Linked DNA regions of Caenorhabditis elegans. The protein of the gene in region 1 interacts with the protein of each later gene in a pairwise test. Each region holds a gene or a part of one and is shown on either strand. Other genes may lie near its edges.

Region 1 (5,099 bases):
GAATTCTTGATCTATATTCTAGTGGAATGCAAAACCAAATGTAAAACTAAAAAACAAATCAATCAGTTAAATAACCTAATTATCCCTGACCACCACATCATGAACTCCCATTTGTTCGCCCTAAAAAAGTCAATCGCATCCAATTTGATATCTTTGTTCCTTTTATTCTACCAAATCAGTCATTCTTTCTGAATTACCGATTCCTGATCGTGACTCATCAATTTTTATTCCATTTTCTTGCATTGTTTTTGATTTCTCAGACATTGGAGTTTTCATGTTACGAAACATAAAAACAGCCTCACGAGGTTTCTTTATCACCAATGAATGTGAGTACTTGTGTGGAAGCTGTTTTGGTTGAGAGTCATCTTCCCAGGGCAAGTTACTTGATTGTTTGGGGTTTGATTATGCTATTTTCATTAAAAAAAAATTAGATTCTCAGTTCTGACAATGTTTGGGAAATTTGACATTTATTATGAAGCCTCGTCAAAAAAAGTTTCAAAACCCAAATGGTTCAATCACATGACACTTTCTTATCACCAACTGGTCCTTGCACTTCTTCTACCAACTTCCCTCTATTCCCACTTTTCCGTTTTCCGTGTTCATGTCCCGGGGTCCGAGAGAGAAAGAAAGAACGCCTGTTTGATATCTGTGTCTCTCACTCTCTTCTTATCACTACTATCTTTAATTGTTTCGGGGTCCCCCCACTACTACCCTCCTCCTCTTCTTTCTTGTGTTCCTCATAAAGAAACGAACGAAAAATACGTTTTTTCTCTCTTCCTACTGTTTTTCAATTTTTTGATTATTTCCATGTTTCTGTAGCCTTTTCTTCTTTCCGGTTGGCCAAGAAACAATTATTAGCTTTTTTGTTAATGAAAAGAAATATCGATAAAACTGATAAGAAAACAATTGGTTTTGTTATCAGTTGTTTCTCTCAAACCAATCACTTACCCTTTTTCTCATTTTTCGAGAACCGTTTTTTTTCTGTCTTGGTAATTTTTATCAGATCCAATTCATTGAAACGAGAAGTAATAAAATTTAAAACTCAAAAAATTCATTTAGTTTCAAAAAATATAAAATGCTTTCGCTACAACTACAGTAACCTGCGAGGAACTTTTTAAAAGTTATTTTTATCAAAAACATGTTGTTAAAAATAATAAATTAAATTCAAATGATCGACTATGACTATGAAACAATTTAAAAATGTTGTTTTCTTTCAGAAATTTCATTTAAATTCTAAACTTTTTTTAGTAACTGAATTAATTTCAAATTGCTGGGCAAAATGATTACTGTAAAGCAACACAGTTTTGTTGGATTTTTTTTTATATAATTAAACTTTTTGGAATGATGATACATTTTGCAGAATTTTTTAATTGGTCCTAAATCGGTTTCACTTCGAAACATTTATTTTCCGCGGAATATTGTTTCAAAATCAGGATTTTTATTGTAGAAATTGCAAAAAAAAATTTTTCAATGAAAAAGACAAATTTTAGAAGTTTTAATTTACACAATTTCACACTCTCATCATCCTACTTCCCCAAAGTACATTACCAAAAATTTCAAGAAAAAAATGATACTAATATTTTCTGAATACTCTTTCACCTGGTCATTTAAGTTCCATATTTTCCCAGTTTCTCAATAAAATAGTAAAAGTGGCTCGTAAATCTTTCGTCAGTGAGAGTGAAACGGCTCGACTGGACACGGGGACACGGGACACCAATTGAACACTAAATTGCGGTCAGAAAGGGAGAAGAAATCTATAAACTGAGGAAAAGCATATCTCATAATGTGAACTACTCTATTTCAAAAAGTCTTAGCTGACCAATGACTCTTTTAAAATATTTCTATTGAAAATTCAAGTTTGTTTTCTCAACTTTTCAATATTTTCCCACATGTTTCTTTATTTTCTTCCTTTCCGTTTTAACACTCAAACAAAGTCAATAACAAAAATGTAAATTTCAGACCACATCCATGACAGGAAACTAGAATAAATATATAAAATGAACGACTGTAAGCGGTTTGAAGCAAATATTTTCAATAATGGAAAATGCAAGATTTGCTATAAATCCAAACAGAATCATTCATCAGAATCAATTGAAAATGCAAAGGTAATTTTTGTTTGATTTTTAGTTGATTTTTATTTGAAAAAATAACGTTTATGACTTTATAAATCAGTATGATTTGGCCTAAAATTCAGCTTCAATCAGGTGTTTAAATGAGTTTTTAAACATGAATTTCCAATATTTTTCAGTAAATTTTGTTCGAAAATAGCAACTATTTTTTAAAAGATTTATTCGAAAATACTTTTAATTCTAATTCAAAAATTTCCAATTTTTGGTAGTTCGAAACTTCCATGAAAATGCCAACACTTTTTTAACTTCAAAATTAAATTAATATAAATTCGTTAGTTTTTTAAAAATAATATTTTGATTCTAAATTTCACTTTAAAATATTAGAATATCAAACAGAGTACGGTATTCTACTAAACTACCAAAAATAATTGGCATCTTCCCAAACGCTGTGCCCCGAATTTCTGCGAATCTTAAAACTAATAATTAATTGTAAGAAAAGCTTTTTTTTCTGTTTTCCCGTCTCCATTTGCATTTTAATGTTGTAGAAAGACGAAGATTGAAAAAAGCACTACAGTTTTTTTACAAAATTCAATATTTTGGTGTTTACATAAGGTATAGTTTATTGATATGAAATGAAATCAGTAGTATTTGAAAAAGAGTATACTGAAAAAGACATGTTCTTCTTTCTGTGTCTCTCAATTTCTAATACTATTTATCATTTACTTTTTTATTGATAACAAGTCCATTTTGCAATCGGAAATGATATAAAAATGCATAGTTGATTATTTTTTGGAATGCTTTTCTCTTCATTTTAAGGTTTTTTGAAGTATCTGATTTGAAAAAGAGCATTATTTATTTAATTCTAAACTTTTGAGTTTAATTATTTATTTGATCAGTTCTCAACTTTTTTGATTGCATTTTCCATTTCTAAGGGTACACAATTTTCAGTTTGACACTTCAAAAGTTCCAACAAAATATTAGAATAAATTATAATTGAACACTCCAAAATTTTTTAGCTTTTTAAAATTTTTTTTTAAATTTTTAGCAAATTGAAAGTTTTAGAAATTTCCAAAAATTGAAAAAAAAAACTTTAAGGTTCGCACGTTTGAACTTGAATAATATTTTAATCCGAACAATGGAAACAAAATTAAAATATTTGCAAAAAAACCTTTTCCGGTTGACTTTCGAAATGCTGATAGGCGGAAGCTGTAAATAAACTAATTTTGGGCTTTTTTAGCACCACAGAGGTGATTTGAATCATCTTCCCCATTGCCGCTTCTCCACCTTTGAAGCTTTGATTGTTTTGGAATAAAATTTTCAGCCAATACCTCTAAGCTGGTAATAGATACCTGAACATATAGTCTTAGTTTCACCAATCGGTTCCACTTTCATTCTTTTTTGTGTCTCATTTCGTTTCGCATCAGTTATTTTTCTGCAATCACACTTCGGCCCATTTCTTTTTCTTATCCAATCCCAATACATTTTGTTTTTTCATTGGAAGACGTTCGTCTCTCTTCTGAGCAATTATCCTTTCTATCTCTAAACTCTCTTACTATTTCAATAGTATTCCATTTCATAAAAGTGCGCACTTTTGGGTCGTCCAGAGACATTCAACCAGAAAGCATTGATTCTTCCCTTCTTTTTCCTTCCTCTTGTTTATTTATTCAGCAGTGACACTATCCTTCACTATTCCTCTTCCATTTCATCCATCCTTGCATTTTTCTTATTTTTTTGGTAGTTTTTCTCTACAGTGACCCTATTAATTGGCTCAAGTTTTATTTCTAATACCGACACACACGATTTTTGCTTCAAACAATTATGGGACAAAAAGATGAATTCCACTTGACATTTTGTGAATGCCAAAAAATATTCCGAGATATTTTTTGTGTCATTTAGTAAAAGTCACTATTTTTAGCTGGTCTAAGTGAGCACTGAGTTTTGATTTTTTTCAAATATTATAACATCATCAATGTTTTTTAACTGAACCTGAGGCTCTGATTTTTTAGGGAATAAAAAATTGAGTGTATAAGTTTTGGATTCAAAATGACGCATTTAATAAATAAGTTCGTAAGTTAATTTTAGAATTTCTGGAAATAAACTTCTACGTAATTGAAAGATATGTATGCCTACCACAGAATTGATAGTTCCCTGTTAATTTTCTATTTTCTATAAACATTTATCTAAAAGTACCATAAAAATCGCAATCTTATAAACTTGAGCAATTTCGTTTTTTCCTGAAAAACATAAACACGAAATTCTAGACAGATTGCCTAATGCACCATTGGCCATCCTCCAATTTATAAATTTTAATCCAATCTTCTATCATCTTCCACTTATTATTATTATTATGCCCACCACTTCCAATCATGCTTCTTCTCTGACCATCATCTCCTTCTTCTTATCATTTGATTGCGCATCATTTTATCTGTTTATACCCGACTTGGCTTGTATCCAAGTTTTGAACACCCACTCACACATTAAAGTATCTTCATTCGTCTCGATATATCGTGTTCGTGTTCACTTTCTACATTCATTCAATGACCTGCTTTCTACCTTCCATTCATCCTTGTTTTCAACATCTTACCACTCACTCTTTTTCTCATTTTCTCTTATTTTCTCATGCTCTATCGTTCATCTAGATGGATGTAGGTAATGACTGGGAGAAAGAGAGTAGAATCCATCCTCCAATTAGTTCCTTTTCTGCTTCTAGAATTGTTTTTTGTTGTTTCTAGGTCTAACTTGCACCCATGACATTTGGATTTTCAAAACTTGGATTTTGAAAAAAAACTTTTACTTAAAGGCGCACGGATTTTTTCAGATGGATAGAAGAAAGTATTTTCAATAATATCATTATACATAGTTTTTGTAAAGGAAGAGCTTTTTTGAAGACGAAACAAATGTTTTCAATTCTTCAATTCTTTTAAAAATCACATTTTGTTGCTTTATGCTTTCAATATGCATTTGTTTTTTTTAACACGAAATGAGAATCCGATGGAGCACTTTTCTTAATGTTCGACGATTTTTTTTATC
Region 2 (7,913 bases), on another chromosome or scaffold:
CTACCTCCCCCAGTTTCCTCCCTACTACCTTGATTCTGGAACTTTGTGTCCAAGGTCGTAAACTCCGGCGGAAACATGTCTCTGACTCAATTGTAAGAGTCAGCTTACAATAGTCACCTTCCTTTCATCCAGACGTCTCTCTTTCTCTCCCTAGATAATTCTTGTTCACTACCTTTAAGCCTACCTGCAATAAGCTGTACGGATCATCTACTTTGACTACCTTAATCTCCATATGTCTTATCATCTCGTTTATCACTTGAAATTGGAAACGAGATTTGTGTAGTTTTATCGCATTTTTCGAGGTGCTTTAAAACCATTTGGAGATGAAATTCAGAGAAAATTGTTCTAGTTTCTCCATTTAATTCGCGACTTGTTAACGAACAAATTGTTAAATTCATGTTTACGTAACTAAAAAGTTTTTTTTTAATTTTAAGAGACGACCGAGTTACAAGCTGTCAAAGTTGAGTACCATATTTTCTCATTCCACTTTTTTGTTCAACTTTAGCATCTTATATCTCAGTTGCCGTTTGTTTTAATCAAAAATTGTTAACTAACGAAATATTTGCAATTTTTTTTCTATCGTTTGTATTCGATAATTTATTGATATCATTAAAATACACCAAGATATAATTTTTTAAAGTTAAGTAATGTGGTGCAATTTCATATTTTTAATATGTACCCTTCTCCTATGTGTTTCAAACACCGCTTCAACATTCACATTGAACTTTCAGACACTTTGAGGACAATGTTACATTTTTTTCCTTTAACATACAAACTATTTGAGTACATACTTAATTACCTCTTTGTCACAGCTACGTCTTCATTCAATACTACTACTTCGTGCATTCACTGTTCGTTTTCTTACTTTTTGTCTCTCTCTCTCTCTCTCTCTCTCTCTCTCTCTCTCTCTCTCTGTCAGTTTTCCTCTTCTCCTCACAAGCTTCTTCTCCTCATCCTTCCAAGAAGTGAAGCCAGTTTCCGCCTCTCTTATAGACAGTTTGCGTCTCCACATCTTCAATGCTATCTCTCACATTATTCCGACAGTACGGAGAAAAGAGTCGCGCTCTCTCTCCTCTGTTCGCTTCCTCAATTCCATTACGAGTGTTCTTTTCGAATGGCAAAACCTATAAGTCTTTTGAGAATTCCATCATCTTTTCAAGTTTGCATAGTACTTGTGGATCTTGAATTTTAGATGCGGAAACATTGATAGATTCGAGTTTGAAAATGTTCTAAAACTTTATAGGTTTGATTATTAGACTTTTTAATTTCAATAAAGTGCAGATTTTAAAACTCGACGCTATTGTATTTGGCAACACTTTTTGTGACTTCTACGATTTCTTCGTTTTTCAAACAGACACGTAGGCGTATAGGAATATAGGCAAATAGGCAGGCACATAGGCATGTGTGAAGGCAGCCTGTTGCTGGCTTTTCGCCCACAATCGCCCGTCATCGCCCTAGCTCGAACTTTTAAACCAAGGCAACCAAGAACTAGAAATTTTACAAAAAAACCTATCTGTCAAAAAACCATTTACCTACCTATCTCTACCCAGAGTTTCCATCGTTTTTTTTGTCCCGACCAACCCGACCTTATGTTCAATTTTATTACCCATGATCAGCACCTCCTACATGCGCAAAATGTTGCCTGTCCCCCTTTGTGATCCATGTCCCACCAATTGACATCAATAGTAAATACATCAAAGTTATCGCCTTTCTTCTCTTCTTTTTTCTAATTTCTCTATTTCCTCTGCATTTCTTTCTGTTCGATTAGCTAATAGTGGTAACTTCATTCTAACAGTGTTGTACAAGTCCGGAGACATATTGATGCGCTAGTGTCATCATCGGAAGCAAAGGCGTCCGAGCGGAAGCATTCACGATGAATCAAGAGGAGGACACCGTTAATTTGCAGATCTTCGTTCCGGAGCTTAACGTTCGGGTGAGCAATTGCAAAATAAAATTGTGACTATTTGCAGAACTTACCATAGAATTTCAAAATGTTTTATCTAGGTGTTCCATAATCCTTCTACAATTTCTCAATTTCAGAAGTTCCTTGCGGTGACCCAAAACGATTTCATCTGGGATGTGAAACGCAAGTTATTGGCCACCCTTCCGCAAGCTCTTCCGCAAGCTTTCAACTACGGGCTCTTCCTTCCTCCATGCGATGGACGAGCCGGAAAGTTTCTTCTCGAGGATCGGACCATTCGTGACTATCCGTTCACTGATTGTGTTCCGTATCTCGAGTTGAAGTATAAGAAACGAGTCTATAAGATGCTCAATCTTGACGAGAAGCAGCTGAAGGCAATGCACACGAAGGTAGGGATTACTTCTCTTTCAACTTTCAATGCCAAAACCTCCCAGGTTCTAAATGTTCTAGTTCTAATCCCATCTTATTATTCAATTCCTTCCGATCCAACATGTTGATCGAAAACTGACAAAAACCTTGTATAATTACAAGGTGTTTTATGCGTCATATTCCATCAGATGCATATCTTTCCCCCTTTCTTCACAAACTAATAATATTTGTGTTCGCGCGCACCTCTCAATTCAGATACTTATCGTTCTCGTTTTGCAGGGCCAACTCAAAAAGTTTATGGACTACGTTCAGCAGAAGAATAACGAGAAAGTGGAAAAGATGTGTTCGCAGGGACTTGATGCAAATTTTCATGATGCTCAGGTGAGTTTTTGTGGATGTTTCTAGGATTGCCGGGCATCTTGAAATTATTTTAATTTTCACAAAATTTCAGGGAGAAACCCCATTAACGCTGGCTGCTGGAATCCCGAACAATCGAGCTGTAATTGTATCCCTTATTGGTGGCGGAGCACACGTGGATTTTCGCAATTCAGAAGGCCAAACTGCAATGCACAAAGCCGCATTTCTATCTTCCTTCGAGAATGTAAAAACCTTGATCGAACTTGGAGCAAGCCCAAACTATCGTGATCCAATTGGACTTACACCGCTCTACTATAATATGTTGACAGCAGATTCGAATGATCAAGTCGCTGAGATTCTTCTACGAGAAGCCGCCGACATCGGTGTGACCGATATGCACGGAAACCACGAGATTCATCAAGCATGCAAGAATGGGTTAACGAAACATGTGGAACACTTACTCTATTTCGGTGGTCAGATCGATGCTGAAAATGTAAATGGGAATAGTCCTCTTCATGTCTGTGCAGTGAACAATAGGCCAGAATGTGCAAGAGTACTGCTGTTTCGGGGAGCTGATCATCTAGCTGTGAACAAGCAAGGACAAACTGCGTTACATGTTTCGCATATTGTCGGAAATCCTGGTGTGGCTGATGTCGTTCAAGCACATAATCCTAAATCTTCAGGTAAGAGAGTCATTTTTTTAACTTCTCTGAAAAATCTAAATTCCAGTACCATATCGCGGCACTCCTCAATACTCAACTCGCCGACGCCTCAGCTCAACCATCACTCGCCGACGTTCGATGTCCCAATCCTCAATATGCAGCCAGGATGTCTACCGTACTCCCCAAAGTGTACGAAAAGGTCCAATGTCTGCAGCTCCATCGCCAAGCCCGTCTCGATCCTCCCGTACTACCATCACCCCATCAGAGTACGGTACGATGCGACGGTCTGGAATGGATTCGATGCGTGGTGGTGGAATGATTGCAGCTGGACACGAGACAAATATCGCTCGGATTCTGGTGATTCCACGTGGTGTCAAGGGATTCGGTTTCATTTTGAGAGGAGCTAAACGTAAATTCCTTTTTCTTATGTAACTGCTCAATAATTTTCTCATAGTTCTTGTTTCAGATGTCGCCATGCCATTGAACTTCGAGCCAACTGCTCAAGTGCCGGCTCTTCAATTTTTTGAAGGTGTCGACATGTCCGGAATGGCGGTTCGCGCGGGATTAAGGCCAGGAGATTACTTGCTGGAAATTGATGGAATCGATGTGCGAAGGTGTTCACACGATGAAGTCGTCGAATTCATTCAGCAAGCCGGTGACACGATTACACTGAAAGTGATAACAGTCGATGTAGCTGATATGAGTAGGGGAGGAACTATTGTGCATCGACCGCCAACAGGTAAAGAAAGTTGAATAGAGTGTTGTTGAGATTTGGGTTGAAAGAAGTTCATATTGGGAGTTAAGTATCTTGATGATCTTGATATTGCACAAACTCGGCTTGAAGTGTAAGCTTGAACTTATCATCCCAAATCTCAATGATAATTTCAACGTATCGTCGTTCATATTCGCACGCTTTTAGTTTTGTGTAGTCTTTGTTCAAGTACAAATTGTTTTCTAATCCGTGCACCGTCACCATTCACTCACATTCACTTCCAGCATCATCTCGTCACTCTTTGGTTTTTACACCCACGCCGTCAGCAATCTACTCGTCTACAAAAGCGTCCAGTGTTTATCGGATGAGATTTGGTTCGAATTTTTTTGTTTTATTTTTACTTTATTTTTCTAACTTTCTAATTCACTGTTCACGTTAATCTAGAATTTACATAGAGATCAGCTTTCTAATTATGTGTTATCTGTTCTATAGATTTGTTCTCGGTCTCGTGTAGCATAGTCATTTTATTTTCAGACACGCATGATGCGCATGGAGTTGATTACTATGCCCCAAATGAAATCAGGAACGCCTACTCGGAATCACGTCACGCGTCAGTCAGGCAAAGGCCGGGTAGCGGGAGGAGGATATCCGCAGCGGAATTGGAGAATTTGATGGTTCGACAGCGGGTACCGTCGGTGCAAGGTTCACCATATCAAATGCAATATGATCAGGAGTCGTTGAATGGGGGTTATTCGTCAAAGAAGTATAATTCGGTTTCTGACATGAAGAGGAGGAAAGGTCAACGGAATGTGGTGGCTTCATCTGCCGGATTGAATAGGTCGACTTTCGAGCAAGCGGTGAGTTTTAGAAAAATGTGGGAATCGGAATATTTATTTGCTCTAAATTACGGAGAAACTAGATTAAAGATGCCAAAATGCCAAAGTTAAAAAACATTTTGAAACAGAAAAAAATTTAAAAAATTAACCCGATTTTCTTAAATGTTTTCTTTTTTGTTTGTTAAATATCATGTCATTTGGAGCAATTCAGAGCAAAATTCCCAACAGCGAGCACACTGAGAAAGTAGAATTTTTCAGGCTCCCACAACTAGCACATTCGAGTACAACTGTAGCAGTCGAAGCACACCTCAACTATCTCGAATGGACTCATTTGATTCATTTGACGATGAAGATGAGATGCCAGCTCCACCACCGGCGTCGTATATCTCTCCGGATTTGCAGAGAGATTCTTCAATGCAGCGGAGTGAATATTCTAGGCCGTTCCGACCAACGTCAAGGCCGAAAACTCCACCACCTCCTCCACCGATGCAACATCAGAATCATCAGAACCACCAATATCAACAACAACATCCATCTCTTCCAAGATCAGCTTCAACACCTCAACCAATTCAGCAGCAGCAGTCATCGATTCCACCACCGCCTCCACCACCTCCTCCGCCACACTGCGAGCCAACGATGGTACATGTTGAGTTCACACCTCCATCAACATCTTCAGTACCTCCTCCACCTCCTCCATTGCCTCCAATCTCATCTGGAGCTCCGCCACCACCTCCACCACCTCCTCCGGGAGGTTTGATGCATGTGGCTGCGAGTGCTCCGGTTTTGATGAGCAATTCAAAAGGAATATCAGCAGATGCCTTGAAATCAGTTCAATTAAAAAAAGCAGAACCACGAGAAACATCGGCGGCTTCTGTCAGTAATAATAACAATAATAACAACAACTCCACGACAGATTTTCAAATGGATTTGAAGAATGCGTTGGCAAAGAGGCGGAGTAAAGTAGCTCACGATGTCGATGAGGATGAGGAGAGAGAAAGTCGATTCGAAGGATTATCACTTCGAGAAACTGTTCGGGAAAATGTTGTAGAACGTGGAAAAGGAATTCAGAACATTGGAATAGTTAATAAGAAGGACAGTGGGTAAGTGAGTTTATTTCATTTGAAAAATGCTCGTTGGTTGCATAATTATTGGTTGTGTCCGATTTTTGCTAATTGGCTATTTCTAACTGCTAATTTTTGGAACATTTAAAAAAGTCTGTCAGAATGTAGTTCAAAACATTCTGAGACTTTTGGCGTCTATTCGTGTCTCTTGCCTACTTTCATAGTACCTTTAACCATATTCCCACTATTTCACTTTGAACAGTTATATCTCAGTTCATTTAGAAGATATCATTAAATGTTCAACTATGAAACTATAGAAAAAGTATCAGAAAATATTTAGTCAGTTGACAATTTTTGTGTAGAACAACCGAAAACTGAGATATAAGCTGGTAAAGTTGAACAATCGAAGTACAATATTAATAGAGAAAACACGGTAACTGCTAACTGCTTTCTCGAACTTCCGTAGCTCAACATCTTCAATCTTGAAGCTTACATACAACTTAAATAAATCCTCTCTTTTCAGGTACACATCTTCTCGAACGTCACTGGAACCATCTGAATCGGAAGAAAAAGATCATCGACCCCATTTCTCACTTGATCACTCTCCAAATGTTCAAAGAGTGACACTGATCTCTCAGCATCTCGAGGATAATTACGGACAGAAGGACAATGTAAGACCCATTTTTCCCTGCACTGATTTCTCAATATAACATTTTTCTTAACCCCAAAAAAAAGATGGTGTGAAAGAATGTTTAATTTGTTCATGTGTGGTTTGTGCCCAATTTCTAACCTAAAACCTGCAATTCAGATGTCTGTTGCCTCGTCGTCAACTGCGTCATCATCATCAACAGTTGATCTAACGAAACCTGGATGCTTCGTGGTACCATCTCATGTCATTCCACCTGTCGATTATGATGATGATCCGGATTCTGGAACAGGCGATAGCGATGGAGAGATTCGCTGTAAGAGATTCTTCTTCCAACTTGTTTTTCATTTGACATCACCATTAGTTTTACTCTTTTTGCACACTCACTTAATTTATGTTCTCACAAATTTTGGAGATTAATTTATGAATCTAAGAGGAAAGGGGAGAATGAAATCTGTCTGGGGTCTAGTTTTGGTTAACATGGGGTTTTTGGAATGCTCTGGTTGTGTTCTCGGGATACATTTTTTTTAGCAAATTCTCAATTCAAATCATTATAAATGTTTAGAGCAGTTTTGAGAATTATCTAGTTTATTTGTTTACGCTTGTATTCTTGTAAAAATACTTGTAAACTTGTAAAAATATTTATACTATAATAGTATTTTTGTCAAAATATTTAGTTTTCTAAATATTAAAAAAACAATTTGATTTGGTTTTTTAATTTACTTAATTTCGTTTGTTCTGTTTCAGTGTAACTCTTCATTTTTGAATTGTTTGCTTCAGTTTATCTGTTAACATTTCTAGTTTGAAATATGTTTGAAGGAAACTTCTTTTTTGGATATTTTGTAAAAGAAAAAATTGTTAATTCAAATCATTATCTGTTAGATTTTGGGGCTCATTCCTTTAAGTTTCAACAAATTACCAAATTTCCTCTCTTTGCAGGTAGTGAAATATCATTCGAACACAAGAAGGTAGATGTCTGGTCGGTGGATGACGTCATCGGTTGGCTCTCATCACTACACCTCTCTGAATATACACCAGCATTTCGAAGTCAACGAATCAATGGCCGATGCCTTCGCCAGTGCGATCGGTCTCGATTTACACAGCTCGGTGTCACCCGAATTGCTCATCGCCAGATAATTGAATCAGCTCTCCGTGGCCTCCTCCAGTGATTTATGATTTTCCCCCCTCATTTCTACTTTCTCGATTTTCTCCCGCGTAGCTGGCTTTATATATTTGTATATAATATTGTTTCATTTGTTTTTGATAGTGAAACCCAATTCTAATTGACCATCGTGTCTTTATCCTGCTCATCATCATTTTTCATTAATTTTCTTCCATTTTTCGGTGTC

The links.
Region 2: the proteins of F10G8.8 (region 1) and shn-1 interact in a two-hybrid assay, tested with the Caenorhabditis elegans proteins (one large-scale study listed by BioGRID).

Annotation. Positions count from the first base shown.
Region 1 is NC_003279.8:10,058,887-10,063,985, reverse strand, and holds the start of F10G8.8 (PH domain-containing protein), read left to right. Parts: upstream 1-1,959; 5' UTR 1,960-1,997; coding exon 1,998-2,105; intron 2,106-5,099.
Region 2 is NC_003280.10:11,384,745-11,392,657, reverse strand, and holds the start of shn-1 (Protein shank), read left to right. Parts: upstream 1-1,793; 5' UTR 1,794-1,873; coding exon 1,874-1,933; intron 1,934-2,040; coding exon 2,041-2,310; intron 2,311-2,569; coding exon 2,570-2,671; intron 2,672-2,741; coding exon 2,742-3,330; intron 3,331-3,376; coding exon 3,377-3,718; intron 3,719-3,775; coding exon 3,776-4,048; intron 4,049-4,305; coding exon 4,306-4,395; intron 4,396-4,555; coding exon 4,556-4,878; intron 4,879-4,920; exon of another isoform or gene 4,921-4,941; intron 4,942-5,115; coding exon 5,116-5,957; intron 5,958-6,441; coding exon 6,442-6,589; intron 6,590-6,726; coding exon 6,727-6,880; intron 6,881-7,503; coding exon 7,504-7,733; 3' UTR 7,734-7,913. UniProt on the Caenorhabditis elegans protein: Scaffold protein that most likely acts in the postsynaptic density (PSD) of excitatory synapses which orchestrates synapse formation and maintenance at neuromuscular junctions.